Stegostoma tigrinum: one gene and its partners. Each later gene encodes a partner of the first gene's protein in a complex. Links are inferred from orthologs where the notes say so. Each region holds a gene or a part of one and is shown in the gene's direction. Other genes may lie near its edges. The genes, in order: fbxl13, drc3 and ccdc135.

Region 1 (11,064 bases):
TAGACTACAGGAAAGGTAATTAAAATCAAAGAGCCTGTGGGTGAAGCATTGAAGATAGGAGCAGGAATAGGCCATTCATTCATTTGAGCCTGTTCCACTATTCAATATGATTATGACTGATCATCCTCTTTAGTACCCTACTTCTGCTTTCTCCCATACCCTTTGATCCCTTAAGAACTATAACTAACTGCTTCATGAAAATACCAAATGATTTGGCAGGGAATTCCAGTGGGTCACCACTCTCTAAGTGAAGAATTTCTTTTCATCTTAGTCCTAAATGGTCCCATATCCTTAGAATGTGATCCCTGGTTCTGGACTCCTTGGTGATCAGCAACATCCTTCCTATTTTCTTCTGTATCTAATCCTGTTAGAATTTTACAGGTTTCTACAAGAGAATATTCAGAGATTTCAAGAGTGGTAAGAATGTAACTTCTTTTACTTCTCTTTATCTCACTTTTTCCAAAATTGGAAAATAGATTTTAGAAATAACGTCGAGCTGATGAAGTGTGAAAAGAATAATAATTCCAAGCAGTGGTGAGAGTTGGTCAGTGAGGTGGGAGGAGTGGATAGGTGGGAGAGAAGGCGGACAGATCATGGAGGCGGGGATGAGTGAAGGAACTAGTCTTGGGATGAGGCGGACGGGTGGGGAGATTTTGAGGGTGGCAAAGTCCATATTGATGCCATTGAGTTGGAAGCTCCCGAGGCGGAATATGAGGTGCTGCTCCTCCAGTTTCTGGGTGGTGTGGTTGTGACACTGGAAGAGGCCCAGGATGGACATGTCGTTCAGGGAGTGGGAGGGGGAGTTGAAGTGATGCAATGATTTGGATATGAAAATAGAAGGTGTGGTTAGTAAGTTTCCCAATGAGTGAAGGTGTAGTAGCCAGCCAAGAAGGTCACCTCAGAATACAATGGGACATTGACAAGGGCCAATAAACTGAGGAGTGGCAGATGGAGTTGAGGTTAGATAAATGTGAGGTGCTACATTTTGGAAAGGCAAATCAGGGCAGCACGTATACACTGAAGTTTGTGGGGAGTGTTGCTTAATAAAGAGACGCTGGAGTGCAGTTTCGTAGTTCCATCAAAGTACAGCCACCGGTAGAAAGGATATGAAGGAGACATTTGGTGTGCTCGCCTTTATCGGTCAGTGCATTGAGGATTGGAGTTGGGAGATCACTTAGCAGCCATATAGGACATTGATTCAGCTGCTTTTGGAATACTGCCATCGATTTTGGTCTCCTTGCGAGAGGAAGGATGTCGGCGCAACAATGAGGGCCGAAGGGCCTGTTCTGTGCTGTCTTGTTGTATGTATGTATGTATCATCCCTCATACTTCTAAACCCAAGTGAACGTAGTGTTAACCAGTTCAGTCTATCTTCATACAACAATCCTACCATCCCAGGCATCAGTCTAACCTTTGTTGCATTCTCTCCATGGCCAGAACATCATTCCTCAGATAAGGAGACCAAAACTGCACACAAAATTCCAGGTGTAGTCTTACTAAGACCCTGTGTAATTGCAGCAAGACATGCCTGCTCCAGTACCAAATCCTCCCTGCAATGAAGATCATCATATCATTTGGCTGCTTCACTGCTTACTGCACCTGCCTGCTTACTTTCAGCAACCTGTATACAATTTTATTCAGGTCATTACACTATCCCCTTTTCCAATCTATCACGCCTCCTCACTCCATATATCAAAATGCTCAAGAACTACACATTCTCTCTTCCCGAATTCTGTACCTATATTTTCCTCTTCCCTAGTGAAGACAGATGTGAAGTACATTTAATACTCTACTAATGTCCTCCAGCTCCATGCACAGATTGCCCTCTTGGTTCCTAATAGGCCTTACTCTTTCCCAGGTTATCCTCTTCCCCTTAATATACTTAATGAATACCTTGGGATTCTCCCCAGCCTTACTGGCCAATATTTTTTCAAGACCCCTTTTGTTCCCCTCATTACTTTAAGTTTCACCCACACTTTCTACACTCCACCATGGCTGCTGCTCATTTATTCCCATGCACCTGCTAAAAGCCTCTCTTTTCCTTCTTCTACAGTTCTGGATATCTCTAGATGTCCAGGGTTCTCTGGATTTGTTTCTCCTTCATTTCACCCTAAAGGGAACATATTGAGCCTATACTCACCCCAAATCCTTTTTGAATACCTCCCCTCCCCACACTGCTACCTCAAACACCTGTCCGGCTGCGATTCCCAGAACTATGTCCAACACAGCACCGTCCATTGTTGGACCTTCTATATGTTGGTATGACAATGATTCCACTTGTGGTTATTATTTTATTTGCTCATTTAGTTTGAAATATGCTGCACGCTACTTAATGATACTGCTATGATCCAGTTCCAGACTGTCAAGTTTATGTCATGATCTGGCTAAGGACCTGTAACTTATATTTTCAACATGGACAATATGTGACATCCAGGGGACTCATTCTGAGAAAAAGGCCACAAGACTCCACAATAACGACCATAAACTTTACTATACAATGTTAGAATAGTGATACAATCTACAATATGTTCGGCTTATTTCTAACACCCAAAATTAACATGTGATAAATAGGGGTAAGCTATTTTGATCGCATATCCTCAACGAACATCAAGTAGCAAATGCAATCCAGACAGATACCATGGATTTCTCAACAATTCCTTACAGATGTTAATTACACACTGGGTTTCCAAATCTCATTATACGTCATAAGGGGTTACAATTATGGATTCTTGCTGATCTGGCCCTGGAATTCCCTCTCAAGAATCATTCAGACATAGACTGCCTCAACAATTGCTCCTGTTCTGGTCAATCATCATCCTTTCCTGCATTTGCATCCCACTTTCCTCACCTTCCAACCATGAAACTGCCTTCCACTACTCATTCAAAAGCATAATTCCAGCTCCTTACCAAAGGAACTTCAACAAACTCAAACTGCCCAAGGTTTTTTTATTTTCTCCCCAAGCTCTAAGCTAATTAGACAAGAGCATGTCAGAGAGCAAAGTAACTCTGAAGAATTAACCTGCATTTATTTTGATGCAACATGTTTTACAGGTGAGGCTAATGAAGGCATCATAGCTATTACAGAAACTTAGCGGAGGGAAGGACAGGACTGGCAGCTCAATGTTCCACGTTTTAGATATTATAGGAAGGATAGAAAGAGAGGCAAGACAGGAGGGAAAATCACATTTTTGGTGGAGAGAAATCTTTCGACTGTAATTAGAGAAGATATTTTTGAGGGGTCATTTAGTGAAAACATATGGGTTGAACTAGGATTAAGAAAGAGATGATCACCTTGATGAGATTGTACCATAATCTCCTCAACAGTCACAGAGAAATTGAGAAGCAAATATGTAGCAAGATCTCAAATATATGTAAGAATAATAAGGCTGTAATCATAGGGGATTTATTTTTCCATAACATTGACATGGAATGCCATAATGTTAAAGGTTTGGATGGTGAAGCATTTGTTAAATTTGTTCAAGAAAATTTTCTTTATCAATATTTAATATTCCTACTAGAGAAGGAGAAACCCAGCAAAGATCCTCAGATGGCACCTTCTAAACCTATGTCCACTTCCATCTAAAAGTCAAGCCGATACATGGGAACACCACCACCTTCAAGTTCGCCTCCAAGCCACTCAGCATCCTGACTTGAAAATATATTGCCATTCCTTCACTGTTGCTGGGTCAAATTCCTGAAATTCCCTCTCTAATGGCATTGTGTGTCAACCCACAACAGCAGGCCTGCGGCAGTTCAAGAAGACAGCTTACCAATAGCTTCTCAAGGGCAACTAGGAACAGGCAATAAATGGTGGCCGGCCAGCGACACACCCTTCCCATGAATGAATAAAAAAGCCTTGACCTTCTCTTGGGAAATAAGGCAGGTTAAGTGACTGAATTGTTAGTAGGGGAACACTTTGGGACCAATGATCATAACACTATTAGTTTTAAAATAGTTAAGGATAAGTCTTCCATAGAAGTTAAAGTTAATAATTGGAGTAAGGGTATGTAACAAGAACTTTCAAAAGTTGATTGGGATAGGCAAAGGGAGGACTGACAAGCCGGAGGCATTCAAAAGTGTGATAACAAGAGTTCAGAGGTATTATGTACCTGTTAGAGTGAAAGGCAAGACTGGTAAGATTAGGAAACAATGGATGAATAAAGATATTGAGCTTCTGGTCAAGAATTTTAAAAAATCATATATTAGATATACAGAACTGGGATCAAATGAATCTCTTGAAGAGTATAAAGATTTTGTTGTAGTGTAGGAGGTTGTGGTGTGATATCATTGAGATTTATAAAATCATGATGGGCATAGATAAGGCGAATAACAAAGGTCTTTTCCCTCGGGTGGGCGTTGCCCAGTTACCTCCCTTGACAACAGTTATTGGCTCAGCAGTCTCATAGCAAGTGGATTCTTCTGAGCCCGCTCTGCTCCCAAAACGTCTGGGAGCCTTCACCACACAAAACTATTCGACTCCTCTGGGAATTCCCTGAGCCCTTACTGTACAAAGCCTGGGTAGTTCAGCTGCCTTTTACCGCACTGCTTAACACATTGCATGCTTCTTTTCTTATCTGTCTCCTTCTTAAAATAATTGTAACCTTGAGCTCCTACATGTTGATTGAAAACCTTGCAACAAACCTTTCTCTAAGTGTTGGTGGAATTGAATTTTGCCACCTCTTGCCAACTTTTGGAATGTCTGTTCTATAAATGTTACCAGTCATAGATTGCTGATTTAGTACAAAAAATGAATACAGATAGAAAGCACAGCATTAATTGCCTTTTTTTCTTATTCTCTCATAGATGTTTGTTGCCCATCTGTAAATACAGTAAAAACTGTGTGGCTTGCAAGTCACTTCAGTGGGCAAGTGAGAATAACCCATTTTTATGGGTCTGAAGTCCTATGCAGGCCTGATCAGCCAAGAATGGTGGATTTCTTTCCCTAAAGTACATGAATGAATCAAATAGGTTTTTACAACAATGATAATTTCATGATCACCATCATTGTGACTGTTTTTTAAAAAATCTGGAATATAAAGTTAGTTTCCGCAGTGTTAGCCAGTACTTGGATTGTTGTAAAAGTTACCATATAATGTCATTGTTGAACTATAATTTTAATAAATAAGGAAATTTGGACATTTTTCATGCGGTGGGCTACTATGTTACGCATCTACAGTGCATTGTAAAGTAAGCTGCAAAGGGAGTCACTTGCCTAATTCGTGATTTTTGTCAGAAATGTTTCATTGTGGTTAAGGCCAATTGTTAGACGTGCTAACCAAGTTGAATTTACAATATATCAAATCGGCTCTGATAAGTGGACTAATTTATTTTCTCCAGACGCCGATGAGAGTTTATTTCGGACAGTAATGGATTTTGTTTCAAATTTTACTTATCCCAATCGACTGATTTGCAAGTTATAGATCTGCCTCCGTAGCGTCTAACGTTGAGCGAGGAAGTATAGCACAGACGTCGTGCATTTGAACTATGTCGGAGTCTTCTCAAACTGATCTCTGATGAAGGGTTTAGGCCTGAAACGTCAGCTTTTGTGCTCGTAAGATGCTGCTTGGCCTGCTGTGTTCATCCAGCTCCACACTTTATTATCTCGAATAAACTGTGGATTTTCCCTGGGGGGGGGGGGTGATACATGTTGAGTAGGTGCGTTTGAAAGGGATTGTGAATTTTAAAAAGGTAAAAGAGCCCGTCACCAAGATTGGAAATCTCTAAATACGGAATTCTGGCTGTGGAGCCGTTGCGGTGGCGGTTGGTCTTTCCTTTTCAAAGCTTGTTACTATGGTGACAGTAAACAGGCGGTGTTCACGAGCGCTTTCGCCTGACAGTGAAGCTGCGCTCGAGCTGCTGCTATGGTGTTCTTAAAGTTCGCAGATCCCGTGTTGAAAGACTACATCAAATCACATTCACTCCCCCAGATTTATGAGGTAATTCATTGCCTTTTCTTTTTTAAAAAATCCGCTTTGCATTTGGTACGTGTGTTGGAAATATTGTTTGTCCAGCGTTCAGCCGGATAGAAATAATGCGGGAAAAAGTCACAGCAAACTGAACGAAATCACTGTAACCAGTGTAAAGTAAGCACCTACGTAAAAGTTTAAATTATACTGCCGCCATCTGACAACTAATTAGCACTTACACGTTTATATCACATTAGCAGGTTTAATTATAGTTATTCGACATATTCAGACATTAATAAAAGACACGCATTTGTATTGTGCCTCCAACGACTCTCGGTCGACTCGTTGAAATGCTTTTGAAATATAGTTACTATTGTAATGGCCGGAAAAGGCAGACGATTGGCGCACAGTAAGATTCCACAAACAGCGCAGTGTAACCGAACAACCAATTCTTTTTCTCAGTATTTAATTGCTGAAGGTTGAGTAATCGCCAGAACACTGGAGAAAATTTGGAGCTCTTCATCACGAAAAAAAAGATTTAATGTTGCACTAATAATTTCGTAAAATATTCAAAGGTTCATTCCAAAATATTTCGAATTGGATACTGATGAAAATGCTGTATACTATAATTTTCCCCCCATTGAACATGTTTCATTCTTAGATGTCTCAACCCAATGCGCGTGACATTTGCTCTATGCATTCAGTGGCAAGCATACGGCCCAAGAAGTCCTGTAAGTCACCAGCTCCCTGTTTCACTGCAGGCGAAAGGTTTTGAAGCACTACAAGCTTAATGCAATTTTTAACGTATAACCCTGGACCTTGGAACTTGTCCATATGGAACATTCTGTTGAGGATAACTTTTTGCATTGGAATGCTACCAGGATTTGGACAGAACGAGAAAGTGCTTTTCATCATGATCTTTGCCTCAGTATGTGCCTCCTGAGAACAACCCGTGGAACATAAAATTCTGCACTATAGATCTGCACAGGATTTACATTAACAAAATCACTATCTATCCCCAGATCTTCCTTGCAAGGGCACATTCCAAAAGGAGATTTGCAATGCTCTCTTAGTCACCACAACCATTTGAAGGATTGCGTGGAATGCAGAGACTTCAATCATGCATGAATGAACAATCTGATAGGCAGTGCCCATCTTACTAAATAACTTTGACATTTCTGCTCAGAAACCATCTGACAGGATCAACTATCTCCTTTTCTCATATGGTCATTAGTATGTTACATGCTGACCATTGCTTGATGGTCAACATGCTTTTCCGTATAATTTTTCCATGAGGGACAGGTTATATTCTATGGTTTGACAATTTGGAGCTTTATGTCACAACGTAGCCAGAACCCATGTTTTGCAATGCCAGGGACAGGTAGAATCTTAGCATGTAATGACACTTGTTGTTTGTGCGCACAGCTTCATGTAGCCACACACAAGACAGGTAGAGTGATTTTGGGTACATTTTTCCCATTTCTATCCAGAATTTTGCATATGGTATCCCTTCAGAAACAATCCACCATTGGTATCCACATAAGATAGAAGCTGGATCGGATGATTTCTGCAGCATAGATTCAGAGAACATGAAATGTAGCAACACCTGTAGTCCAAGTCCTTGCTCGCAATGGAGCAGGTATGTTGCTCTCACATATCCAGTACTGTCACACCTCGGCTGCACACTCCTCCCTGTACTTAGTATCGGATCTTTCACATTCACCAGAGAAGACAGATAAGATCTCCACTTTACATGCTGCATAAAAGACAAGACCTTCAGAGTGCTGTTAGTAATACATTGGAATTAATACTGTCTAGATTTGGTGTTTGTGTCTTTGGGTTGGAATTTGAAACTTCGCTCTTTAAATTAAGTTGATTTCTTTGGTTTAAGTTTGTAGTGAGTAGCAGTTAAAATTAAAGTAAATGATGAAAGAGCATGTTATCACGATAGTCGCCAGAATATTTCCATAAGGCAGCTACAGCCAGCACAAATGAATATCTTTTCAGAATTATGAAGTCACAATTATCTGTGTAACTGCTAGCTGTTTAGAATTACTTTGTGACAGAATTTCATTTGCTTCTGGGATTGGGTTTGTATTTTCTGAAATTTAATTACAGGCAAGTTTTTCAAGGGAACTTGATAAGATGTAATAAGATAATAAAATGTGAGGCTGGATGAACACAGCAGGCCAAGCAGCATCTCAGGAGCACAAAAGCTGACGTTTTGAGCCTAGACCCTTCATCAGAGGGTCTTCATCAGACCATCTCTGATGAAGGGTCTAGGCCCGAAACGTCAGCTTTTGTGCTCCTGAGATGCTGCTTGGCCTGCTGTGTTCATCCAGCCTCACATTTTATTACCTTGGAATTCTCCAGCATCTGCAGTTCCCATTATCTTTGATTTGTAATAAAACTTGATTTGCAATTTTTAAGAAAAGATTCTAACATCATACATTGTCTTATTGTAATGAAAATGCTTTTCTGTATGACAAAAATGTTTGAAAAACTTCAGCACAATGTTGGAGCCTGGCGATCATGACTAGGGGGAGAAGAGTCAATTCTCACATAACTCAGAAATCATTTTATTAATGCTGTTCGACAATACACATGTAGTTGCATGTTTGTTGGCACTAACCAAAAGCTAGAAGCTAGTTGTACGCCGACTGGGTTCCTTTGACATTCCCTGAGAAATCACAGAACATAAAGGCTAATACTTGGGCAGGATAGCTGTGGCATGGTGGCTCAGCAGTTAGCACTGCTGCCTCACAGTGCCAGGAACCTGAGTTCAATTCCACCCTCTGGTGACTGTGGAGTTTGCACATTCTCCCCATGTCTGTGTGGGTTTCCTCTTGGTGCTCCAGTTTTCTCCCGCAGTCCAAAGATGTGCAAGTTAGGTGGATTGGCCATGCTAAATTGCCTATGGTATACAGGGATGTGTAGATTAGGTGAGTTACAGGGGGATGGGTGTGCAGGGATGCTTTGAGGGTCAGTGTGGACTTGCTGGGCCAAAGGCCCTATTTCCACACTGTGGGGATTCTATGATCTATGATGCTGACAAGGATTGACACTGGCCAGGCGTTCTGTTCTCGTTCTTTCTCTAGATGTCATCACCATGTTCTTAATGTTGTGTTCACTTCTGCAAAGGTTAATCTCCAGAGATTTTGCTAGCTTCATGCCCAGGAGTCTTCTTCTTGCACCTTTCTTTATCTCTTTCAAGCTGTGCTGCCTCTTCTCTGTTGGCTCAGGCTCATTCACTTGTCGCATGCCTTTACCTGTAGTCTCACCTCATTATTCGTTGTCCAAATAGTTCGTAAAAACCGGTTTCAATTGGCTCAGACCTGTACCTGGACTCAGGTTATGTTTTATTTCACAAACTGCTTCTTCTATGTGTCAGCGATTTTGCATTCAGTATTTCTCTGCAGCATGTTGGCAGTTTGTAACCCTCTCTCTGTCTTTTTCTGCAGCCCCTGGCCGACATCAAGATATCTCAGTGATAATTGGAACTGCAGATGCTGGAGAATCCAAGATAACAAAAGTGTGGAGCTGGATGAACACAGCAGGCCAAGCTGCTTGGCCTGCTGTGTTCATCCAGCTCCACACTTTTGTTATCAAGATATCTCAGTTTAAGTTCACTTCACTATTGAAGGTGCAGCTGAGCTCTACCCACTTTCTTTCAGATGCTGTGTATTTTCAGCATTCCCTCATCTATTTAATCAGAATGTTTCTATTGTTGCAAAGTTGTGTAGAGTAATCATGAATTGGAAGGCAGGAATCTAGAATTTGTTTGAAAAAAATGTTAAGGGAGAACAGTGTGTGGTTCCTTTAAGAGACAAAATGCTTTCTTTTCTAAGCTTGGAGATTAATACAGAAAAAAAAGTCTCTGTTTATAGCTGAAGTTGTACAGCCAGTTCTGAAATGGAAATATGTATCAATTGGCTGTGTGATTAGAAGCCTTAGGCATGTTTTGGTGTTTTGACAACGAGCTGGAATCAGCCAATTAATTTTTACCGAGCATTTAGCGATTGAAAGCCAGTTGACTTAAAACTGATAGTTTTGACAGACTCGGACCGATGCAATTATTAAAAAAAATTATGTCATCCAAGGTAAATAAGGAGAGGGCTTTTGAAAACTGCCATCTGAGAAATAAACGCCTAGCTCACACAAGAAATAGCTAAACTCTCTAAGAAAGCACTATCTTATCCATAAAAGGCACTATGGCATTTTTAGCTAAGAGTCTTCACAGAGAAAGCATCCCTGACAGCAGGATCTGTGGAAGTAATGTGTTAATAACTTGAGAACAGCAGAAGAAAAGCGTTTATCACTGGAGAGACAGTGGAGAAATCAGAGTATTCTGGAAGACACATTCTGTGTGGTTATTGAGAGATAAAGTTTTTTTTCTTCCTACTTGGGATATATAAGTGTGAATTGTATTTATTGGAATAGCATACCAGTAGAATTTTATTCAGTTAGCGAATAGTTCAGAGTTAGGGATGATTTGTTTGGCTTGTGAGCAGTTCTGTTAATTTGTTCACTGTTAGGGTTAAATAAATAAATTTTTACTTGTTACTTATGAAGTGAATATCAGGGATTTTCTTTCATTTACCCTCCCCTTCTCCGTAACAGATGAGGCAAGGTGAGGCAAGCTTCTCTGGGTGTTTTAGGTTTAATTACTGGAAGGGACCTTTATTCCTGCTGGAACAGATTGTGGGCTTGTATTTCCATTTTAATCATCAGAGGGGTTCAACCTCTCCTTCCTAACACTACATCAATTAAAAAATAATGAATCTATTCAAAAGCAGGCTGCATGACCGAAAATGACCACCAATGTTAGATATTGGATAGCAACTTTGTAAAGTCGCTTACATGCTTGGATTTCTGCAAATTTCTTTAGATGATTTACAAAACATCTGAACAAAAATAAGGAACTGAGGATGCTGGAACTATATATATATATTGTTAGCAGCCATTTCCGCCACCTCTAACAGGATGCCACCACCAGACACATTATCCTCTCACCTCCCTTGTCAACCTTCCACCGGGGCCATTCCCTCTGGGACATTTTGGTTCACTCTTCCTCCAGTCCCAACATTTCCCCATACCCCACAGCACCTTCCCTTGCAATCACAGAAGGTCCGCTAATTTATTTCCTTCTCACTATTCA
Region 2 (11,173 bases), on another chromosome or scaffold:
CAGGGCAGAATACAAATTCACAAGTCCTGCAGTAGTGAATGATGGATTTTTTTTCAAATATCTAAACCACAGTCACCTCTGGCAGCAGCCAACAGTTCTCATGTCCACAAAATAAATGTCAAATTTGCAGTCTAACAGCCATGATACTGTGACAAGTTAAAAAAAACCTGTAAAATTTACAGATAGATGACTACAATGAAAAATCATCTAACTGAAAAAAAAACTAGATTTCAGCTGTCACTTCACTAAGTAGAACGAGTTTCTTAGTACAAATTCGTGAGATGAACTGCACTGCATAATACTAAGGCGCCAGTGATAACCTGACTTTTTAAATACACAGTCATCTGTGGAAATTCTAAGCATTCAGAGTTATTCTGCCAAAGGAGGAAAAGAAAGATTTAACTGCAGCAAATGGGAAATTCCTCGGCTCTCCACATCCAATTAAAGTAAAGTAGTTTCCATCCTCACTGACAATGTGTTTTTGGAAATAGGATAGTGTTACCACAAGAAGCCAGAAAACCCGACCGCTTTATATCACAGATAATAAAATGTGAGGCTGGATGAACACAGCAGGCCAAGCAGCATCTCAGGAGCACAAAAGCTGATGTTTCGGGCCTAGACCCTTCATCAGAGAGGGGGATGGGGTGAGGGTTCTGGAATAAATAGGGAGAGAGGGGGAGGTGGACCGAAGATGGAGAGAAAAGAAGATAGGTGGAGAGGAGAGTATAGGTGGGGAGGTAGGGAGGGGATAGGTCAGTCCAGGGAAGACGGACAGGTCAAGGAGGTGGGATGAGGTTAGTAGGTACGAGATGGAGGTGTGGCTTGGGGTGGGAGGAAGGGATGGGTGAGAGGAAGAACAGGTTAGGGAGGCAGAGACAGGTTGGACTGGTTTTGGGATGCAGTGGGTGGAGGGGAAGAGCTGGGCTGGTTGTGTGGTGCAGTGGGGGGAGGGGACGAACTGGGTTGGTTTTGGGATGCGGTGGGGGAAGGGGAGATTTTGAAGCTGGTGAAGTCCACATTGATACCATTGGGCTGCAGGGTTCCCAGGCGGAATATGAGTTGCTGTTCCTGCAACCTTCGGGTGGCATCATTGTGGCACTGCAGGAGGCCCATGATGGACGTGTGATTTAAAGAATGGGAGGGGGAGTGGAAATGGTTTGCGACTGGGAGGTGCAGTTGTTTATTGCGAACCAAGCAGAGGTGTTCTGCGAAGCGGTCCCCAAGCCGCCGCTTGGTTTCCCCAATGTAGAGGAAACCATTTCCACTCCCCCTCCCATTCTTTAGATGACATGTCCATCATGGGCTTCCTGCAGTGCCACAATGATGCCACCCGAAGGTTGCAGGAACAGCAACTCATATTCCGCCTGGGAACCCTGCAGCCCAATGGTATCAATGTGGACTTCACCAGCTTCAAAATCTCCCCTTCCCCCACCGCATCCCAAAACCAGCCCAGTTCGTCCCCTCCCCCCACTGCATCCCAAAACCAGTCCAACCTGTCTCTGCCTCCCTAACCTGTTCTTCCTCTCACCCATCCCTTCCTCCCACCCAAAGCCGCACCTCCATCTCCTACCTACTAACCTCATCCCACCTCCTTGACCTGTCCGTCTTCCCTGGACTGACCTATCCCCTCCCTACCTATACTCTCCTCTCCACCTATCTTCTTTTCTCTCCATCTTCGGTCCGCCTCCCCCTCTCTCCCTATTTATTCCAGAACCCTTACCCCATCCCCCTCTCTGATGAAGGGTCTAGGCCTGAAACGTCAGCTTTTGTGCTCCTGAGATGCTGCTGGGCCTGCTGTGTTCATCCAGCCTCACATTTTATTATCCTGGATTCTCCAGCATCTGCAGTTCCCATTATCACTTTTTATATCACAGCAGTTTCACACCATTTAGTTAAAAGTACTAACGAACTTAATAAGACCATAAGACATAGCAGTAGAAATTAGGCCACTCGGCCCATCGAGTCTGCTCTGCCATTCAAATCATGGCAGTTAAGTTCCTCAACCCCATTCTCCTGCTTTGTCCCCATAAGCCTTGAGAATTAAGAATCTCAGACTTAAAGGTACTCAATGACCTGGCCTCCACAGCCTCCTGTGCAGTGAATTCCATAGATTCACAACTCCCTGGCTGAAGAAGTTTCTCTTGATCTTCATTCTAAAAGGACTTCCCTTTATTCTAAGGCTGTACCCTCGGGTCCTAGTTTCTCCTACCAATGGAAGCATCTTCCCAACATCCACTCTGTCCAGGCCATTCAGTGTTGTCTAAGTTTCAATTAGATTCCCCCCCCCCCCCCGCCCCACACGATCTTTCTAAGTTCCAATGAGCATAGTCCCAGAGTCCTCCAACATTGCTCATTTGTTAAGCTTTCCATTCCTGGGACCATTCTTGTGAAACTCCTCTGAACCTGCTCCAGGACTAGTACATCCTTTGAGATACGGGGCCCAAAACTGCACACAATACACCAAACGTGGCCTGACCAGAGCCTTATAAAGCCTCAGGAGTACATCTCTGCTTTTATATTCAAGTCCTCAAAATAAATGCCAACATTGCATTTGCCTTCTTCACTCCTGTCTCAACCTACAAGTTTAGCTGGACTAGAACTCTCAAGTCTCTTTGCACTTCAGACTTCTGAATTTTCACCCCATTTAGAAAAGAGTCTATGCTTTTATTCTTCTTACCAAAGTGCACAACCTCACACTTTCCCATGTTGTATTCCATCTGCCACTTCTTTGCTCACTTTCCCAACTTGTCCAAATCCCTCTGCAGCCTCCCCACCTCCTCAATATGACCTGTCCCTTCACCTATCTTTGTATCATCTGTAAACTTAGCCAGAGTGCTGACAGTTCCTTTATATAGATCATTAATGTATAAAGTAAAAAGTTGTGGTCCCAACCCTAACCCTTGTGGAACACTGCTTGTCACCAGCTGCCATCTTGACAAAGACCCCTTTATTCCCACTCTCTGCTTTCTGCCAGACAGCCAATTTTCTATCCATGCTAACACCTTGCCTCTAACACCATGGGCACTTATCTTACTCAGCAGCCTCCTATGTAGTACCTTATCAAAAGCCTTCTTGAAGTTCAGCTAGATACCATCCATTGGCTCTCCTTGGTCTACCCTACTCATTACTTTTTCAAAAATGGTTAAAGGATGGTTATTTGCAGGTAACGACATTCAAATTTAGGAACAGACTGAAAACTTGGACATCAGTTGCAGTTTGGTGTTCGCATTTTCACTTCTGGAATCAGAAGGTCATGGATTCAAGTCCCAATGGACAATACAAAACCTACAGTGTACCTCATTGCAGTTGAGGAAAGTGCCATTTTTGATTTACACAGTAATTTGACATGTCCTCTCAAGTGTACTTCAAATTATTCAATGACATTATTTTTAATACCAAGAGTAGAACCCTGGTGTCCAAGTCAACTTTACACTTCAACCAATTCCACCAAACCATTATCTGGTAATCACCACACTGTTGCTTCGGATGACCTTGCTATGCACAGAATGTATTCTGTATTTCCTATGTATTAGCAGCTAATATCTTCAGCAATAACTCATTTCCTGGAAATTATTAAAGGTCACAAAATTGACTATATATTAAATTTATTTGTTGCCAACACAAAATTATCAAACACTTGGTGCAACATGGATCATTGAGAAGTCAAGTAAAACAATGCACAAGTGCATATTGGATACAAAATCAAATTTTGCTTAATCACTTTCATTAGTTTCAGAATGTTCTTGGGGTTCTTCCAATGAGCTTTTGTACTCAGGTATGTATTAGCCTCAAATATCACTAACAAATAGAGCTCTTTCTGGTATCCAGTTGTTATATCAAGCTTAAATGGGTCTGCAAGACAAAACAAATATCCTTCTTCCCTTGCCACAAGGGATCAATGATCAAGCACTGTATAGCAAGTATATGCACTGCTGCAAAAAATCAAGTTCAATCTTCAATGGCCAATTCTTCTGCAACCTCCAGTGGGATTTTCCATTTCTCACAGCAACAATTTTGTTGTCTGTGAAGAGGATGCCAGTTTAACAGTAAAAATTAAACCCACTTAAAACAGGGAAAAAATGCTTTTTCATTTCAAGCAAAATATATAAAGCTTGGAAATTAATTCAAAGAATTAGAATTTCCTTGCATTATAATGATTATATACATAACTATATACTTAACCAGAACAAAAGTAAAAATGGCTGCCACAACCTAAAAACAATTGGTTAAAATTGCATCCTTTTTGTTTAAGATAGATTTGGATATCTACTGAACTGAGCTATCTTTCAGCAAACTAGGCAGCTTAAAATTTCATTTAGGTACAAAACACGGCACAGATGTACCAACAAGAAAAAAAGACAAGCTGAAAGAAAAAAACATTATTTTAGTTTTAGGAATCTTAACAAGCCCAAACACTACTGGTGCCAACAAGGTCTACGAATCTTTAATAAAAACTGAAAGAACTGCGAAATCAGAAACAATCACAGAAGTTGCTGGAAAAGCTCAGCAGGTCTGACAGCATATGTGAAGAGAAATCAGAGCTAACGTTTCATGTCTGGTGATCTTCCACAGATATCAAATCATTAATTTAGTAAATTTTGTATTAAAAATCCATCAAGATCAAATAGATCATGTATTTCCATTAAATAACACACCTAAGCCTTCATTTACATCAGTTATCTTCAAACAAAAAATTATTTATTTTTGATCTATTTAACAGATGATTCAACTTTGACGAAGAAAAACTTACAAATGAATCTGCATTTTGTGTTACATTTTCGGTGTTGACTAGAGCTCACTTAGCAAGTTAGTAGTACTTTGGAGCAATCAGCCAGAACAGACCAGCGTGATGAGTACTGTGTTATACGCATGTGTCATTCGACATTTTGCAACAAAATTAGTAGAAACCAAATTGCAATTCTAGATCTTAGGTAAGTGCTTGCATTCAACTGTCAAAACTGCATTTTATTTCGTTTGCCGGAAAGCGGATACCACTAGAAAAATAAAATCAAAACAACGAAAGGAATACATTATCACAAACCGTACTCGCTGATGTCAGGCGCAAGTTGTATGAGGCAGGACTCAAAGTAGACAGGGCAATTTGACAGCTAAATTCCAATGTGTAAGCAGTTGAAGAACTTTACAACACCCATATGTAAAATAATGATACATAAGCCACCTTGAACCGTGTCGCTTTTAAATGACATTGCAAATGTGTAAACAAACACTTATTTTTTTGGGGGGGGCGCGGAAACCTCTTCTTTTAGGCTGTGCGAATCCTTGAAAAACATTCACGTATCAGTTTTATAATAACTTAAAATAATTACTTTCCCGGCGGCATTTTTTAAAGAAAAAAAATCAAGCAGACTGTGAAGCAAATTAAATGCCAGAAAAATGACACGGCATTCCGAAGAGATTAATTTCAAAACGAGACAAATATTTATAATACTTAAGAAATGAAGTGAACGTTTACAAAACAACTAGATTATGTTTTAAGATTGACTGTAAACTACAAGGCTCGCACCTATACATTGTCCAACGGGAGTACTATACGGGTTCCCAATGAAGAACTCCATCTTGACGCTTCCTCCACAAACATCCAATGGATGTGGGTGACGTCAACTTCGCCTCAACCGAGCTTGATGGTGCGAGCTGAAGCCCGTTCCTTTCTCTCACTGATTGGCCAACAGCGCGCATGTCCCCGCCTTCTCCAACATATCCCATACGGTTATTGGTCAATCGCCAAGTCTGTCAGGCGTCCCGTCAAGTCAAGTTCGCTCTCGTCTTTGGATGATTATTTTGCCTCTCCATCGTTAAAATTATATTTTAAAACGAGTGATTTTGTTTTACATGTTCTTTTATTGTACAACGCTACAGTTAGTAGTTGAACCGGTACGAATCCTATCTCACGATGTTGCTACTGAAGAGGGTGGGGGCCTAGGTCATGTGATGTTTATCCTAGCAACCGAGTGAAGCTCTGCCCAGCCAGGCTACAGTCAAGGAATATAGTAGAAGTAGCTGAATATATACAGGTAAAAGTTCAAATTGTTGATAGGGTAGGTCGTGTTTCTGTCCGCAACAGATTAAACTGCTAATGTCTTCTTTGAGTAGCTCTTCCATTTGTACGTCCAGTGGTGAATGTTGATCACTCAAAACCAACTCGACTGGCTGCGACATAGTCATACAGCATGGTAACAGACACTTCGGTCCAACTCGTCCGTGCTGACCAAATATCCCAATTTGATCTACTGCCATTCGTTGGCATTTGTCTCTTATCCCTCTACACCTTTCCTATTAACATACCTATTAAAATGACTTTTTAATGTTGTAACTGTACCCGCCTCCACCGCGTCCTCTGATGAAATTGTACATTTCCAAACCAAGAGCACTTAATACAAACCTAAAATACTTAAATCGAAAGTGGACAATTCGAATTGCTAACACCTTTGATTATATTGCATCTAAAATTCAAAAAGGCTAATCGATCTATATTCACTCAAATTTTCATCTGAAGATGTGCAAAAGAAGTGCTACTTAAGACAAAGATGAGATGGAATTTGCTCTCTGAGGGTAGTTTCTATAACAAACACAAACGAAAATAGCTGAAGAAACCCAGCAGGTCTGGCAACATTTGTAGAGAGAAAACAGAGTTAAAATTTCAAGTCCTGTGACCCTTCTTTATAACTAGAAACAACTAACTGCTTAAAATTTTGAAGGGTCACAGAACACGAAACATTAACTCTGATTTCTGTCCAGAAATCGTGCCAGATCAGCTGAGTTTCTCCAACTATTTCTGTTTTTGTTTGTTTCAAATCTCAGTATGCATACTTGGTTTTGTTTTAGGCAGTTCCTACAGCCAACGCCAGATCCCCAAGACAACTAGTCCACTGAGAATTTGATTAACACGGAAGACTTCCAGCACCACAGCAGAATTTTGTGAGCCCTCAGCTGTGAGTGACCAAAATACCCAGAAAAGCGTCGAGAAAAGCAAAAAGTGCTGGAGAAACTCAGCAGTTCTGGCAACATCTGTGGAGAGATAATAGTATCAACATTTTTTTGAGTTCAGAAACCTTTTGCCTGTTCTTACAAATGGTGAGTAGCCTGGAAACATGAACTCTTATTTTTCTCTGTAGTGATGTGGCAAGTTCTGCTGAGTTTCTCCAGTACTTTCTGTTTTTATTTGTTCCAGCTCTCTAGTTTCCACAAGTCTTTGTTTTATTTAAAGATATTGAGAGAACTTATCAGGAATGCACAACAATGGAGATGAGGTATCAAAGGTAGTGTACAAAGCTCCAAACATCCCATCCATCTGCTCCTTCAAATATCACAGTTGCAACTGTGGCAGAATCTAGGAGATCACATGTTCGATGAAGCCTAATGCAAGCTGGTGGAATAGCACCACATTTTCTGTTGAGGGACTTTAGAGCTTGTAGTAATCAAAATTGACTTAACAACTTTAAACCATGAACTTTGTCCTCTATTATTTATCCTGACCAGCATCTCTCCAATGTCTTATTTGCATAAGTTAGCTCTCCATAGAGCTGACCTCTTTTCTGCCAGTATGCCTACACTTCATCCATAACTCAACTATCTTGAGCTCTCAGTGACATCAGTTTTATTTGTAGATCTGAATTGTGTGTATTAAGAAGTGAAAGACATAGCTTCAGTTTCATTTTTGAATTCTGTGGATGGTACATGGTTGTCTGAAGATTTATTTACATTCATTAAAAATAGATTGATTTTTAGCTTCAGAATTGAGTATACCTTCAGCCAAATAGTTCAGTGCATGCAAAACAAGAAGACAGAAAAATGTGGCGCTATTTCCATGGAACAAAGTACCCATAACACAAGAGACAGAATAAGTTTATTTAGAAAGTCAATGAAACAAGCTGGCCATTTGGAGAGAAAAGGCCTATAGCATCAGCAATGTTGTTTAGGATTCTCCAAAACAGATGAGGGCAGAAGAACAGAAATCTGGAGTGATTTAGAAGTTAGTAAAAAGAAAACTCCAGAAATGAATTATAGCCATGCCAACTGAAAAATGAATGTTAAATGTTAATGTGGAGATCATGTGATCTTCAATAAACTTTATATATCTGTAAGGTTGCCATTGAGAATGTTTTTAAAATTTGTAATAAGACCATTTAAATAATTATTGTGTAATGTTAGTAGTGTAGTAGTTAGTGCTTTGTTCCTTTTTTTCTAATAACCCTGAATGTTCTTTTGTTAAAAGTACTTTGGTAACCTTGCGAACATGATCAATGATCACAATGATGAACGAATAGCAAGAATGAAACTTCTGATCTATCAAGCCAGATTTCACCCTGGAATCCAACTTATCCAGTATTGCCACAAATCATAAAGTTTCATCATGGTTTTAACTTTTCAACCTTACCTGGCCTGTAGAACTTGCTATCATGTTCATTGGACATTAGAAAATAGAGTCATACAGCCAGAAACAGACCCTCTGGTCCAAATCATCCATGCTGACTAGGTTTCCCAAACTGAACTAGTCCCATTTGCCTGTGTGTACCTCGTATCTCTCTAAACCTTTCCTATTCATCTACCTGTCAAAATGTCTTGTAAATGTTGTCACTGTACCTGCATCTGCCACTGGCAGTTCATTCCATATATGCACCACCCAGTGCGTGAAAAGTTGCCCGTCAGGTCCCTTTTAAATCTTTTCCAGCTCACCTTAACACTGTGTCCTCTAATTTTGAATTTCCCTGCCCAAGGGAAAATGTCTTTGCTATTCATCTTATCCATGCCTCTCATGATTTTATTAACCTCTATAAGATCATCCCTCGATCTTTTATGTGCCAAGGGAAATAGCCTCAGCCTCTCCTTGATAACTGAAACCGTCTAGCCCCACCAACATCTTTGTGATTCTATTCTGCACACTTTCCAGTTTAATCACAAATTTCCTATACCAGGGCCTCACCAACATCTTGTACAGCTGGAACACAGTGTTCCCACTCGAGTACTCAGGAGTCTGATCAATAAAGTTAAGTGTGCCAAACATCATCCTAACTACCCTATCTACCTGCAATTCCACTTTCAAGGAACAATGTTCCTGAACCCCTTGGTTTCTGTGTTTGACGATACTTCCCAGGCCCTATCATTTACAATGTAAGTCCTGCCCTTGCTTGGCTCACCAAAATACAACACCTTGCATTTATCTAAACTCCATCCATCCATTGACCCAGCTGATCAAGATCCTGTTGTACTCTTAGATAACCTTCTTCACTTTCAATTATACCCCCAATTTTAGTTTCATCCACATATTTACTAATCATGCTTCCCATATTCTCATCCAAATCATATCCTTAAATGATGAAGAACAGTGGACCCAGCATTGATCACTGCACTTACGTCCTCATAAAAACTCAGTCAAATTTGTGACACACAACTTCCCATGCACAAAATTTCAGATCAGACAACATCTGTGAAGTCGGGAACCTCACATTAGATAGTGCCTCACTTGCTGAGCATTTCCAGCACTTTCTGTTTTTATTTAAGATTGCTAGCATCTGTAGAATTTTGAGTTGTTTCAGTATTGGATTAAGTAGCACAGTTATTAATCAAACCAATAAATGTTTCTCAGAGTTCAACAGCAAGACTGCCATAATAGATACATTTTTCTACTCCCTGACTAGGAAATACTGAGGAAATTGAAGGCAGACAAATCCTACTGCGTATTTTTAGTAATGCATAAAACTTAAAGTAGCTTTTGAATTTCTTGCAATTTGCTACTGTTTGTTGTTGCCTCATTTAAAAAAAAACTGGAAATACCAATTATTTCACTTGCCTCCATTTTCAAGTAAGCGGAGAGTGAATCTTTCACAAGTAGAGTTGTTTACTCATCCGTTAAAAGATGTATGAAAATATCTGAGGGAGACAAGCTTTTGCTTTGCCTCTTTACAATGTTCTACATGACAACTATTGATAGTTGCAGCAACACCAGATATTCGTTGTCAGTTCATAATAATGTAATGCAAGAAATGATTATTTATTTTAACCAATATACCTTTCTCTCTTTTAAGTAGATACACCATTCAAGATGAGTCAACTTTATAAAACAATTGAGCCCAGTGTAATTGATGATGAAATGCTTGAAGAGGCAGTGAAGAAACAAGGGCCACCAGGAAAAGCTGGGCAAATAGCCCAGTTAGAAGGAATTGAATTCAAAGATGTAAAAAATCTTCAACTGGATTACCGAAGTATGCTTTAGATCATCATCTTTTATGACCTAGATAAACAGGATGTTCATAGATTGTGTTATTGATAAAACAATTTGCAGATAATACACAATTGCATCTTACATACATATTTGAAAAATAATGTATTCTTTTGATCTGAATGCTTGTGATTATCATGGTGATTGTTAATTTAACTCAAATTTATGGAATAAGCTTAATGTAAAAAATATATCTCCGTGTTATTCTGAGATGGGAGACCCGAGGAAACCGAAGCAGAATTTGACTTGTAGTCAGAGTTAAAGATGGCAACCAAAAGCTTGATATAAGAAGTGGGTTTATAAAAAAAGGTTTTGAAAGACAGAGAGGTGGAAAGAGAGGTTAGAGATAGTTTCAGATAGTCAGGCTAACATAGCCGAAGGTAGTTAGATGAAGGAGGACGTGTGTCAAAGAAGTTTCAACACTGCAGAAAGCTGCAAACTTGTGATGGATTAAGAAACCTGGAAGTGAGCTTAGAATAACCAGATATTTGGAAGAGAAATAATAATATAGAAATGTGCATCAAGGAATTTATCTTGAAAAGCAGTCTTGTCCTCAGAAACTTTTTGCATAGAAATTCATTTTATCATTATTTTTGTTCTAAAATCGCTGTCTGATTTCTCTGTTCAAGATATACTAAAGATTGATAATCTGTGGCAGTTCAAAACACTGACCAAACTCCAGTTAGACAATAATGTCATTGAAAAAATTGAGGGACTGAACACTCTGACCAACCTGGTGTGGCTGGGTAAGTGCTGAAAAACTCAGTACAATTAAATATCTTGGTTTTGGTATCATTCAGCTATGTTTCGGCTATTAGAAAAACAGCTGTGGAAGTGACAAACCGGTTTTTATCTAACTGAATGGCAGAACAAGCTGTGGCACTGAATTACTTAAAACGCTTTTCTAATTCAGAATCACCACAATTGGACTTGCAG
Region 3 (10,466 bases), on another chromosome or scaffold:
GTGGAAATTGTCAGTAGGCTTCTGTCTGAGTTTCTCAGCTTCTGGCGATCAACTCACACTAGTGTGTCTCTGCATGGAGGTGTTTGCCATTTCTCACAAATCCTTTCTTCTCCCCATTTGCAAAATGTTCTGTGCCACCTTAAATTTAAAGGGGCATTTTAAAACATAATTGTCTTGAAAAGATATCTAGACTTCATAACACCAGGTTCTTGATGTTTCTCATCCTCATCTGATCCTGGTTAAAGCATAAATAGGCCAGTAAAAGAAAGCCAATGAATGAATGTTGAGGAATCTAAATTTGATTCCGTCAATTTTAATTTAGAATTTGTCTTCTGGATTCCTTAAATTCTTAGGCTGCAAATCCCAAGGTCCTTAAAATGGTGAGGCTTCTGCAGTATGGAAAAGTTACACAATACACTATTTAGACATGGTGTATATCTAGGCCAAGTTTCACAGTGCATGGAGGTATTCTGTCTTTAATTAACATACAGTTTATCATCAATGTTTGTGTGATGGACAGTGGAACTTAGGGTCTCTTGTGATGCAGTGTAGTGTCTCTGCCTCTGAACCAGAAGGACCTGGATTCACGTTTTGCTTGGTCTAGAGATATACAATAGAATTCGGAACAGGTTGATTAACCTGTGGGAAAGCCTCGATTATCTGACTCTGATGTAGACACTCTCAACAAAGAGCTTGAATATCATAGGAAGGCAAGTAGTTCATTATTTTCCTGAACTGAGTTGAATACAGGAATTCCAACATAGTTTGGAAGATCTAAACATGTTAAGTTGACTGATGCTAATCCAGTTCACTCACAATGAAATCCCCCAAAGCATTGGCATTTTAACCAGCAGACCGTTGCATTCAGTCCAGACTAGAATCACATGCCCTTTCTTGGGATTTATGTTTAGGAATTACAGTCAACCTTTCAAGAAGTCAATAGCATCACATAATACTTTGTGCCTTTTCTCTTAAATGTCACAGTCAGTTTTCAGAACTAAAGCCTGCCAAACTAAACAAAAACAGTGATGCAAAGTGACTTCAAAAGGAAACTGTGACTATTGGGGAGGTCCATGACTGAAGTCTGAGGACCTTGACCAATTCTCCTTCGACCTGTCGAATTTGGGGAGATGCTGAAACAACAGCTTACATTTACATTAGCACCACAACTATCATTAAACAATCCCAAAGCACTTCACACAAATGTAATCAAACAAAATTCGACAATGAGCCACTAAGGAGATAGTAGGAAAAATTACCAAAATCTTGCTCAATGAGATAGATTTTAATAAGTGTTTTAAAGACAATGGGAAAAATGGAGCACTGCAGGGAAGAAATAGAACCCACTACTGATAGTTGAAGGCACAGCTGGCAAACATGAGTTATTATAAACAAGGATCCCCAAGAGACCAGAAATGGGAGAAAGCAGAAGTCTCTGGGAATAGATTGAAAATCAGACAGGCATGTATCTTCAAAACAGTTACATGATGTTATGACATGTAACATTCCAGCACAAAGGCATCAGCCTTGCTTTCAGTCACTCACTCAAGACAATAGTTTGTTCAGCCAGTCAGTTACTCAATGTACAATGAAACCTTCTTCAAGTCCCATCTGAACCTCCTGCCCTGACCTCAAAATTGTGCCCTTTGGTTATTGATACCTGTACTGAGGAGAAAGATTTCTTCCTGTCCACCTTATCTATGTACCCTAGAACTTTGTATACTTCAGTCAAGTCCCCACTCAGCTTTTTCTGCTTCAAGGAAAACAACCTCAGACTATCTAATCTCTCTTCTTAGCTGATTTAGTCCAGCCCAGGTGACATCCTGGTGAATCTCCTCTGCACCCTCTCAAGTGTAGCCACATTCATCCTATAGTATGGCAACCAGAACTGCACATAGTACACCAGCTGTGGCCTAACTAATGTTTTATATATCTCCGTAATAAACTCCTTGCCCTTGTATTCAATGCTTTTGCAAATAAAGGTAATTATCTCTTATGTCTTCTTAACCATCTTATTTTTTTTCCTACTTCCTTTAAGGATCTATTTTTATGCACACAAAGGATGCTCTGATACTTTGTACTTCCTAGGATACTACTATTCTTTGTGTACTTCCTTACCAGGTAGTCCTCCCAAAATGCATCATTTTTCACTTTGGAGGATTAAATTTGATTTGCCACTGATCTCCCCATCTGTCCTGTTAAATGCTTTCCTCCTTGCTATTTATCCTACCACTAGTTTTTGTGTTATCTGCAAACTTACTGATTAACCACCTGCATTCATGTCTAGATCATTAACGTACACTACAAACAGCGAGGGATCCAGCACCAAACCCGGTGGTATGTCATTGGACACAGGCTACCAGTTACAAAAACACTCTTCAACATCATTTTCTACTTCCTGCCATGTAGCAAATTTTGGATCCAATTTGTGAAATTGCCTTGTAGGATGTTTGCTTTTAAATTTCTTTACCAGTCTGCCATGCAAGAACTTATCAAGGGCCCACCTGCAGTCCATGTAGACAACATCAACAGCTGTACCTTCATCCAACACTTAGTAACCTCCTCAAAAAAATGCAGTCAAATATGATCTCCCCTGACAAAGCCATGCTCATGAGCCTTGATTAATCCTTATCTCCCCAAGTAGAGATTATTTCTGTTCCTCAGAAACTTTTCCAATAGTTTCCCACCACTGATCTTAGACTCTGGCCTGTAGCTTGTTTATCCCTACTACCCTTCTTGAATAATGGTATTACATTAACAGTCCTCCAGTACTCTGGAATCTCTGCTGTGGCCAGAGAAGATTCGAAAATTAATGTCAGGGCACATTGTAATGTCCTCCTTTGTGTCCCATGGCAACCTGATATTCATTTCATCTGTGCTTGGGGATTTATCTACTTTCAAGACCACAAAAACTGCTAATACCTCTTTCTCAGTGTCAATTTGTTCACATATCACTGTCGCCCTCCCTGATTTCTATGCTTACCTCGTCATTCTCTATAGTGAATCGAGATTCAAAGTAATCTTCTAAATCCTCAGTTATGTCTTCCGGCTCCACATGTAGATTGCCACTTTGGTGCCTAATTGGCCCTACTCTTTCTCTTGTTAGTTTCTTCCCCCTAAAATACTCAAAAAAACACCTTTGGATTTCCTTAATGCTACCCGCCAGTGCCTTCTCATACTCCTTCCTCGTTCTATTATTCTTTCAGTAACTCCCTCTCAATACTCTTCCAGGTCACACATTGTTTTCAGCCTTTGGTATCTGCCATAACCTTCTTGTTTGTCTCCCCTCATCCAACTCTACACATCAGGTTACTCTGGGCTTGTAGTTTCCACCCTTCACCTCATGGGAATATGTTAGCCTTGTGCTTTCATGTTTACCATTTTAAATGTCTCCCGCTATTTTCTTGCAAGTAGCTGCTCTCAGTTCACTTTGGCCAGATCCTGTCTTATTAAAATCAGCCTTCCCCATTTCAGAACCTTTAGTTCCAGTTCATCTTTGTCTTTATTTGTAATTACCTGGAATTATGGTTACTATCACCAAAATGCTTCATCATTGACATACCTTCCACTTGCTCAGCTTCGTTCCTTCAAAGTAAATCCATCGCCATCCTTCTGAATCAGACTTGCAAAATGCTAGCTTAAGTAATCTGCCAGACACATTTTAAGAATTCTATCCCCTCTAAGCCTTTCACAGTTAACTGCTATGTGAATTGACTTTGTCTGTCTGGCAGATGGGAGAGTGAAAATTGTCATATACATTAAGCAAAATGAAATAACAATGAAAGACCTCTCTGCATACTGGTGTGAAAAAAATCTAGGAGCAGGAGTTTCCAGGAGCAGAAGTAGTAAACTCAGCTCCTCAGACTTGCATTGCCATTCAGTACAATCATGCCTGATCTCAACTATCCCTCAACTCCACTTTCCTGTTCACTTTCCATAATCCTTCAATCAAGTACTAATTAAAAATCTGACGAGTTGCTCCTTAGATTTATTAATCTAACCTCTCATCTTGTTGGTCTCAGTAATCTTATCCTGCTAGCCAACACTTCTTTGGAAATTGGGACTTTCTTTGCTTTTGATATCCAGAAGCTCCTCCCTATCAATTTTTCATGATTTTTCCGAGTTTGAGGAACACCCCTGTTGTTCAGCGCTAGGGAAGTTTGTGCCCCAATGTGTCTTGGGAGATAAAATGATAAAGATAAGGGAAGCTACGTGCACATATGTTGTTGAAAATAATTATTTTTGCATTGGTAGGGTTTTGAGGGCGGCATCAACACCCCACCTCTGTCATCTCACCGTAGGAAAAATCAAGTTGTGGTCAAGATCATCTCTTAAAGTGAACAATCTGTGAGGCCTAATTGGCCTGAGCAGGAAGCCACCAAACATGCACTGTCTGTCACCCAAAAGCTACCACCAGCAATTTATGAAAACAATTTTAAAATCTGTTACCACGTGTCCTTTTTCCTGGCTAGTCTCGACCATTTGTAAACTTGAGCTCATCCAAATTCTATTTCCCCTATTCCCATATCAAAACCCCTTCCCCCTCATCCCTTGCATTTAGTGACCTACAGTAGCACCCGCTCAAGTCACATCTTGACTTTAAATTTCACTTCCATGTTTTCAAATTTATCATACCCTTGCTGTTCCTTGTCTCCATAATCTGCTCTGTCCACACAACCCACAGCAAGATATCCGCACCTCTTTATTTCAGACCTCTTGCGAAGCCATAATTTTAATCAATTATTCCTGCAGTTAACTTGGCCCCGAGCTCTGGAATATCCATCCTAAATCCATCCACTCATTCATTAAAACCTACCTTGTTGACAAAGCCTTTGGTCTCCTAACTTGATATATTATGTGGTTCTCGTTGTCATGATTTATCTCACAGTCCCCCCTACCCTGATGTGTTTTGTGATGTTTCATATTAAAGGTGTTATATGAATCTATGTGGTTGCTATTGTTGTAATCTCTGGCCTGCTGTCTTGATAGTGGTCTCAGTTTTGACCGGAAAAGACTACAATGCCCAGAGTGTCCTGCCTGTTGCCATGGTTGTTGCTAGGGACTGGTTGCTAAGCACTGGTTGCTAATTAAACTGGTTTCCAATCAACATCACAGGCCTGAGGCACTTGCACCTTCAAGGAAAAGCCTCAGAAAAAGCGACAGTTTAGACTGTTTGAGAAGCACAAAGGTAAAGGATCATCATTAACATTATTTCAATTTATTATGTATTTATTCTGTGTACTTCTTCACACAATTTTTAATTTGGTGCATGAACAAACTAGTTGTTCTTTTTACTTGTAACCTAGGAAGGTAGCTCAGTCTAAAAGTGCTGAGAGTGTGTAGTTGCACAGAGTTTGATCTTGACAATATAAAGAACAAGTTTCTACAAATAGGGAGGAAGTGGTTCATTTTTGCCGCTGTTTCAGGAATAAATGAGAGAGATAAGAGAAGCTATGTGCACCTGCATTTTTGAAAAGGATTATTTTTGAATTGATAATTACTCACCTTAATTTATGGGGTTTGAGGGTGGCACCAGCTCCCAGCGGGACCCCTAGAAAACAATCTGGCTCTTCTTCCAGGGGGAGAATGATACCAGGCGGTCTTTTGCACCCTCTGGAGAAGGCTTCGGTTTAGCATCTCATCCCGAGAACAGCACCTCTTGCTCTTGACTGAGCCTGGAGTGTCAAATTAGCTTATCTGCTCAAATCTCTGAAATGCCCTGCACCAAGAGGAAGCCGCTGATATTGCCACAGCTTAGTGCCTGGGCCACTGACCTCATCACAGGGAAACGAGAGGAAGTGGTGTGATCTGACAGAAGTTGCATAGGTGACAAATTGCATTTGTGAGTCAAGGATTGAGAGATTTCTGGCAGGTCCTCAGTGGTTCCTTGAAAGGAGTCATTCGCATAAAAGTTCAATGCAACTATCACCTTGAAAACCATCAGGACAGGATACCATGCACTCCTTCAGGTCTCACACCGGATGAAATTAACATGAAAATCCCACCTTCTCAACCTTACTCCTCACCTTTGTTATAGTGCAACAGTAGTGGCAATAATCCTGGTGTGACTGGATTCATCAATCACATTTCAAAGCATCTATGCCAGGAACATAAGAAACAGAATAGGCTTTTCATGATAAGAGCAATCAGCCTTCATATCCGTCACAAATGACCATTTGGCACAGTCCTCCATACAGTGAGTCATGGAGCACTCCAACAAAGAAGGCCAAGGAATGCCTCTCCATGACCCTTTGGCTTATTTCAGTAATGCACCTCCAGTAATGACATAAACAGAATACAGGAGATTGTACGTGCTGCATGACTATTGAGAAGTTGTCCTCCCAACCCCACTTCTCCTAAGAAAGGCGCCATTGCATATAAGATCACATCAACGAATACCTGCGGGTCAAGGTGATAGAGAATCAGTTTCATGCCCTTGTGCAGCCTTTGCCATTTAGCAGTATTCTGTGCTGAAGGTCACCTGTGATTACTTCTGCTTCACAAAGATGACTATCTTCAATCTACAACAACAAATGACATGGTCAAGATTGCTTGTGACCAGCACTTGTACCCCATACTGTTGCACAGGATGCATTTCACGTGCATGACATTATGATCATAGATAACATCAACCTGCACTAATTGCCCCATCAGTGCAGTTATACCTTGAAAGGCCTCAGGTTATTCACAAATGGAACCCATGTGTGGAGACAGAGTAAAACCTCTGACTCTACTCTGGATGTGGTTGCACCAATATTCTGTTTGCACTTCGCATCGAGGGGTCAGTTGAATATTGGACTCAATACAGGTCATACTTGGCACAGTGAGTCTTAGGCTCAGCCTGGTAATCAAAGGGTGCAGCCGAACCTCCATGTCACTTTCCTCCTATGATCCCCAGCATTGAGTTCCTCAACTTCCCTAGCACAGTCTTCCCTGATAAAACCACCGTGCTCTGTTGACTTTCATTCTGTTAATCCTCAGTACTGATCATGGTCTACCAGCTGATTGACTTTAAAGGGCAGCCCAACTGATGACTGACCGGACCCTTTAATGATCTGTGTGCAGCCCACCACCCCCCTACCCCCCCCCCCCCCCCCATTAACCAATTGTGAAACTCCTTACTATTTCTATGGGATCTGCAGGACTGAATGTGGCTTTCTCCCCAGACTTCAGTGAAATGGACCCTTGACTATGTCTGCCCCAAGCAGGCAGCTGACTGTGATCAAGCCCCTGGACTCAGATTAGGTGATGCCCTTGTCTTACTGTACTGGGACCCGCTGGCTGACTTGAATCAGAACCACTCTTTGAGGTAACTTATGCTGGGTGTTTCTCCTGACCTGGGAGGCCACACTGACCCAGGTGGCACCCTTTAACCATTCAATATTTACCATCTGCTGGAGTGTAAGGATTCTCCCAGACTTGCTGGAATCAATTCCCAGGTACTGACCTCATTAATGGCCAACATCTACCAAGCTGGTGTCATGGCCTCCTCTGGTCCTTGGGGGAAGAGGACAGTCTTCTTCTGTTAACCCAGTCAACCAGGCCCTTCAGGTCCCTGTCTGCAAAGAGTGGTCTCATTTTTCCCTTGGGCCATCATTTTTCCCTTACCCGCCGTGTCTGGAGCAAATAATCGTGCAGGACAGCTCCAGACCGACCATGTGCATAATGGCCTTGAAGTCATAAATCACATCCTGAGACAAACAGACAGGCAGGAGACCCATGGGGGGAGAAACTTTTAAAAATCATAATCAACAGAGAAAAATTATGACGAAATCAAATGGGACTGAAGTCTTATAGGTTCACTGGATTTGATCGCCTGTGTCAGAGGGTCTAAAACGAAGCAGCTTCAGAGATAATGGATGCATTTGTTGAAAGTTTCCTAAAAATTCCTGGATTCTTGAAGCGGTCCTAGCTGATTGTAAAACCCGAATGTAAAATCTCCAGTCAAGAGACCAGTGAGGTAGAAAGTAGAAAATTAAAGATCACATAGAATCTCATAAAAACCTATAAAATACTAACAGGACTGGGCAGGATAAGTGCAGGAGGGATGTTCCTGATTATCAGGTCGTCCAAAACCAGGGACACAGTCTAAGGATATGGGATTGGCCATTTAGGAATGAGATTAGGAGAAATTCCTTCACTAGTGAGCCTGTGGAAATCTTTACAACATAAAGACATTGAAGCCAACATGCTGAATGATTTCAAATAGGAGTTCGACAATTTTTCAAGCTGAGGGGTTCAAATGTTATGGGGACAAAGCGGGGCCTGAGTACAGAGTTGGATAAACAACATGAACATATTGAATGGTGGAGCAGGCTCAAAGGGCCGAATGGCTCTTGTTTTTTATGTCTCAATTAGTCAGACTAAGTATCCCTCACTGGGAAAATTCTGGAATCCACTATTAAGAATGTAATGGCCGTGTTAGAATACTTGCTTATTTTTCATCATTTTTACTTTATTCTTTTATCAATTTTGGTTTGGAGCTATGAACTGAGAACTATGAGCTGAAAATGATCTGCGGGCTGGGCAACTGCAAGTGTTTTAAAAAAAAAATGAAGAAACAAACAATGGTTTCTTTGTGAGGCCAGACCTGAATGTGAATTGATCAACAGGTTCTACTGATGCTTCATACCAGGGCAAAGTAGTATTTTAAAAAGGCAGATGTTGGCCATTAATGAGGTCAGTACCTGGGAATTGATTCCAGCACATCCAGGAGAAGTCTTACATTCCTGCAGAAGTCAGATATTGAATGGTAACTATGGGGAGACAGGATTTCTGACAGGGAGAAGCCATAGTTTTGGATTGTGTTTTCTGTGAGAAGGAGTTTGGCAGTTGATGCCACAGTGTGAACATTCAAAAGCTCTCTACATAACCCTCCCATTATCAGCTGTTGGAAGTTAAGAGAATAGAAGCTGAGTTGTAAGTAATACTGACTTCCTGCAGAGGGGTGGTGGAGAGAGATGGGGTAGGGGAGTTGAGTTTAGGTGAAGGCTAGGGTAAGTTGGAGGGTGGGTGGGGTAAAGTTTTCTATCATTGAGAGTGTAGGCAAAATACATTTGCATTTCAAAATACATTTTGAGCCTTATTGAGGCTCACGATTCATCAATAATTTTATCGGAAAGCCCAGTGTGATACGTTTGGTAAGGGTCATACCTCGGGAAACCACCCACCTTCATTCCCTACTCAGATACATCTTAATAGGCCATAGACCCATGTTTTCCAACATGTTGGCAAAGACTGGGTTTCCTTCTCGAAACTGAACTTGCCTCATGCCTCTTGTCTCTGAGGACAAAAGCAGACCATGTAGTTTATAAAAGGATTTTGGGCAAAAGAATGGCAGATGGAGCATTATGCAGGAAAATGTGAGGTTTTACATTTTGGTAGGAAGATTTGGAAAGTGGAGTATTATTTAAGCAGTGACAGAATTGCAGTATGCTGTAGTGCAGGGGGATCTGTATGGCCCTATATATGAATCACACAGGATCATCAGGTTATAGACCAACAGGTTTATTTGAAAACACGAGCTTTTGGAGTCTTACTCCTTATTCAGGTGTCAGTGAGAGAGGTAACATCAGACACAGAATTTATAAGCAAAAGATCAAACGGTTATATAACTGATGTGGTGTTAAACAAACTGAAGATGGTTGTTTAATCTTTAATCGGTTACAAAGGATTAATACGCAAATTCCTGAATTTCTTTCAAGTCACTGCTCCGCGATAACTAAAGGTTTTATGAGTTCCCTCAGTGTACCAGAAGTGACAATCCAGGCCTGACAAGGCACTTTCGGCGTCAGGCCTTGTTTAGAATCTGGCGGTATATCAACTTGGAGTCTGACAGTCTACAAATTAAGCGCTGTTTGAACAAAATAGAGTGTATCTACCGCTACCAATCTGCAAATGCAAATTCACCCCATAGATTTATATGTGATTGCATGTGCATACATGCTTGAGAGAGTGTGTGAGCTTGTGTGTGCATGCTTGAGAGAGAGAGCGTGTGTGTGTGTGTGTGTGTGTGTGTGTGTGTGTGTGTGTGTGTGTGTGTGTGTGTGTGTGAGAGTATATAGTGTGATGGGTCACCTGTAATGAGATATGAAACCGAGAACCTGGTTAAGGTCATCCTCATGGGTACTGAACTTGGCTATCAGACTCTGCTTAGCAACCCTGCATTGTCGTGTATCCTGTAGTCCGCCTGGGAGGACAAAGATCCAAAGCCAACTGTCTTTGACTGCTGACGTGCTTCCCCCACTGAGACAGAACAATCTAGCAATCGTTACACAATATCCATTCATCCGTCGTCATAGCATCTGCATAGTCTTGCCAATATACGATACCTTGAGGCATCCTTGCCTGCAGCGCATGAGATAGACAACGTTGACTGAGCCACATGAGCACCCACCATGTACGTGGTGATTGGTGCTCCCATTCAGGATAATAATATCCATGTCAATGATCTGAACTCGTCCTCA

Evidence for each region.
Region 2: fbxl13 (region 1) and drc3 share a complex: the UniProt entries of both Homo sapiens proteins name them as parts of the nexin-dynein regulatory complex. The link is inferred for Stegostoma tigrinum from reciprocal best matches to the Homo sapiens genes FBXL13 and DRC3.
Region 3: fbxl13 (region 1) and ccdc135 share a complex: the UniProt entries of both Homo sapiens proteins name them as parts of the nexin-dynein regulatory complex. The link is inferred for Stegostoma tigrinum from reciprocal best matches to the Homo sapiens genes FBXL13 and DRC7.

What each region holds. Positions count from the first base shown.
Region 1 is NC_081378.1:23,972,278-23,983,341, forward strand, and holds the start of fbxl13 (F-box and leucine-rich repeat protein 13), read left to right. Parts: upstream 1-5,840; 5' UTR 5,841-5,861; coding exon 5,862-5,936; intron 5,937-11,064. UniProt on the Homo sapiens protein: Substrate-recognition component of the SCF (SKP1-CUL1-F-box protein)-type E3 ubiquitin ligase complex.
Region 2 is NC_081376.1:20,125,023-20,136,195, forward strand, and holds the start of drc3 (dynein regulatory complex subunit 3), read left to right. Parts: upstream 1-5,762; 5' UTR 5,763-5,892; exon of another isoform or gene 5,893-6,032; intron 6,033-6,843; exon of another isoform or gene 6,844-7,092; intron 7,093-10,043; exon of another isoform or gene 10,044-10,046; 5' UTR 10,047-10,060; coding exon 10,061-10,220; intron 10,221-10,866; coding exon 10,867-10,983; intron 10,984-11,173. Other genes in the region: tom1l2 (TOM1-like protein 2), read right to left, coding at 5,525-5,576. UniProt on the Homo sapiens protein: Component of the nexin-dynein regulatory complex (N-DRC) a key regulator of ciliary/flagellar motility which maintains the alignment and integrity of the distal axoneme and regulates microtubule sliding in motile axonemes.
Region 3 is NC_081363.1:81,622,038-81,632,503, forward strand, and holds the start of ccdc135 (dynein regulatory complex subunit 7), read left to right. Parts: upstream 1-5,102; 5' UTR 5,103-5,188; intron 5,189-10,466. UniProt on the Homo sapiens protein: Component of the nexin-dynein regulatory complex (N-DRC) a key regulator of ciliary/flagellar motility which maintains the alignment and integrity of the distal axoneme and regulates microtubule sliding in motile axonemes.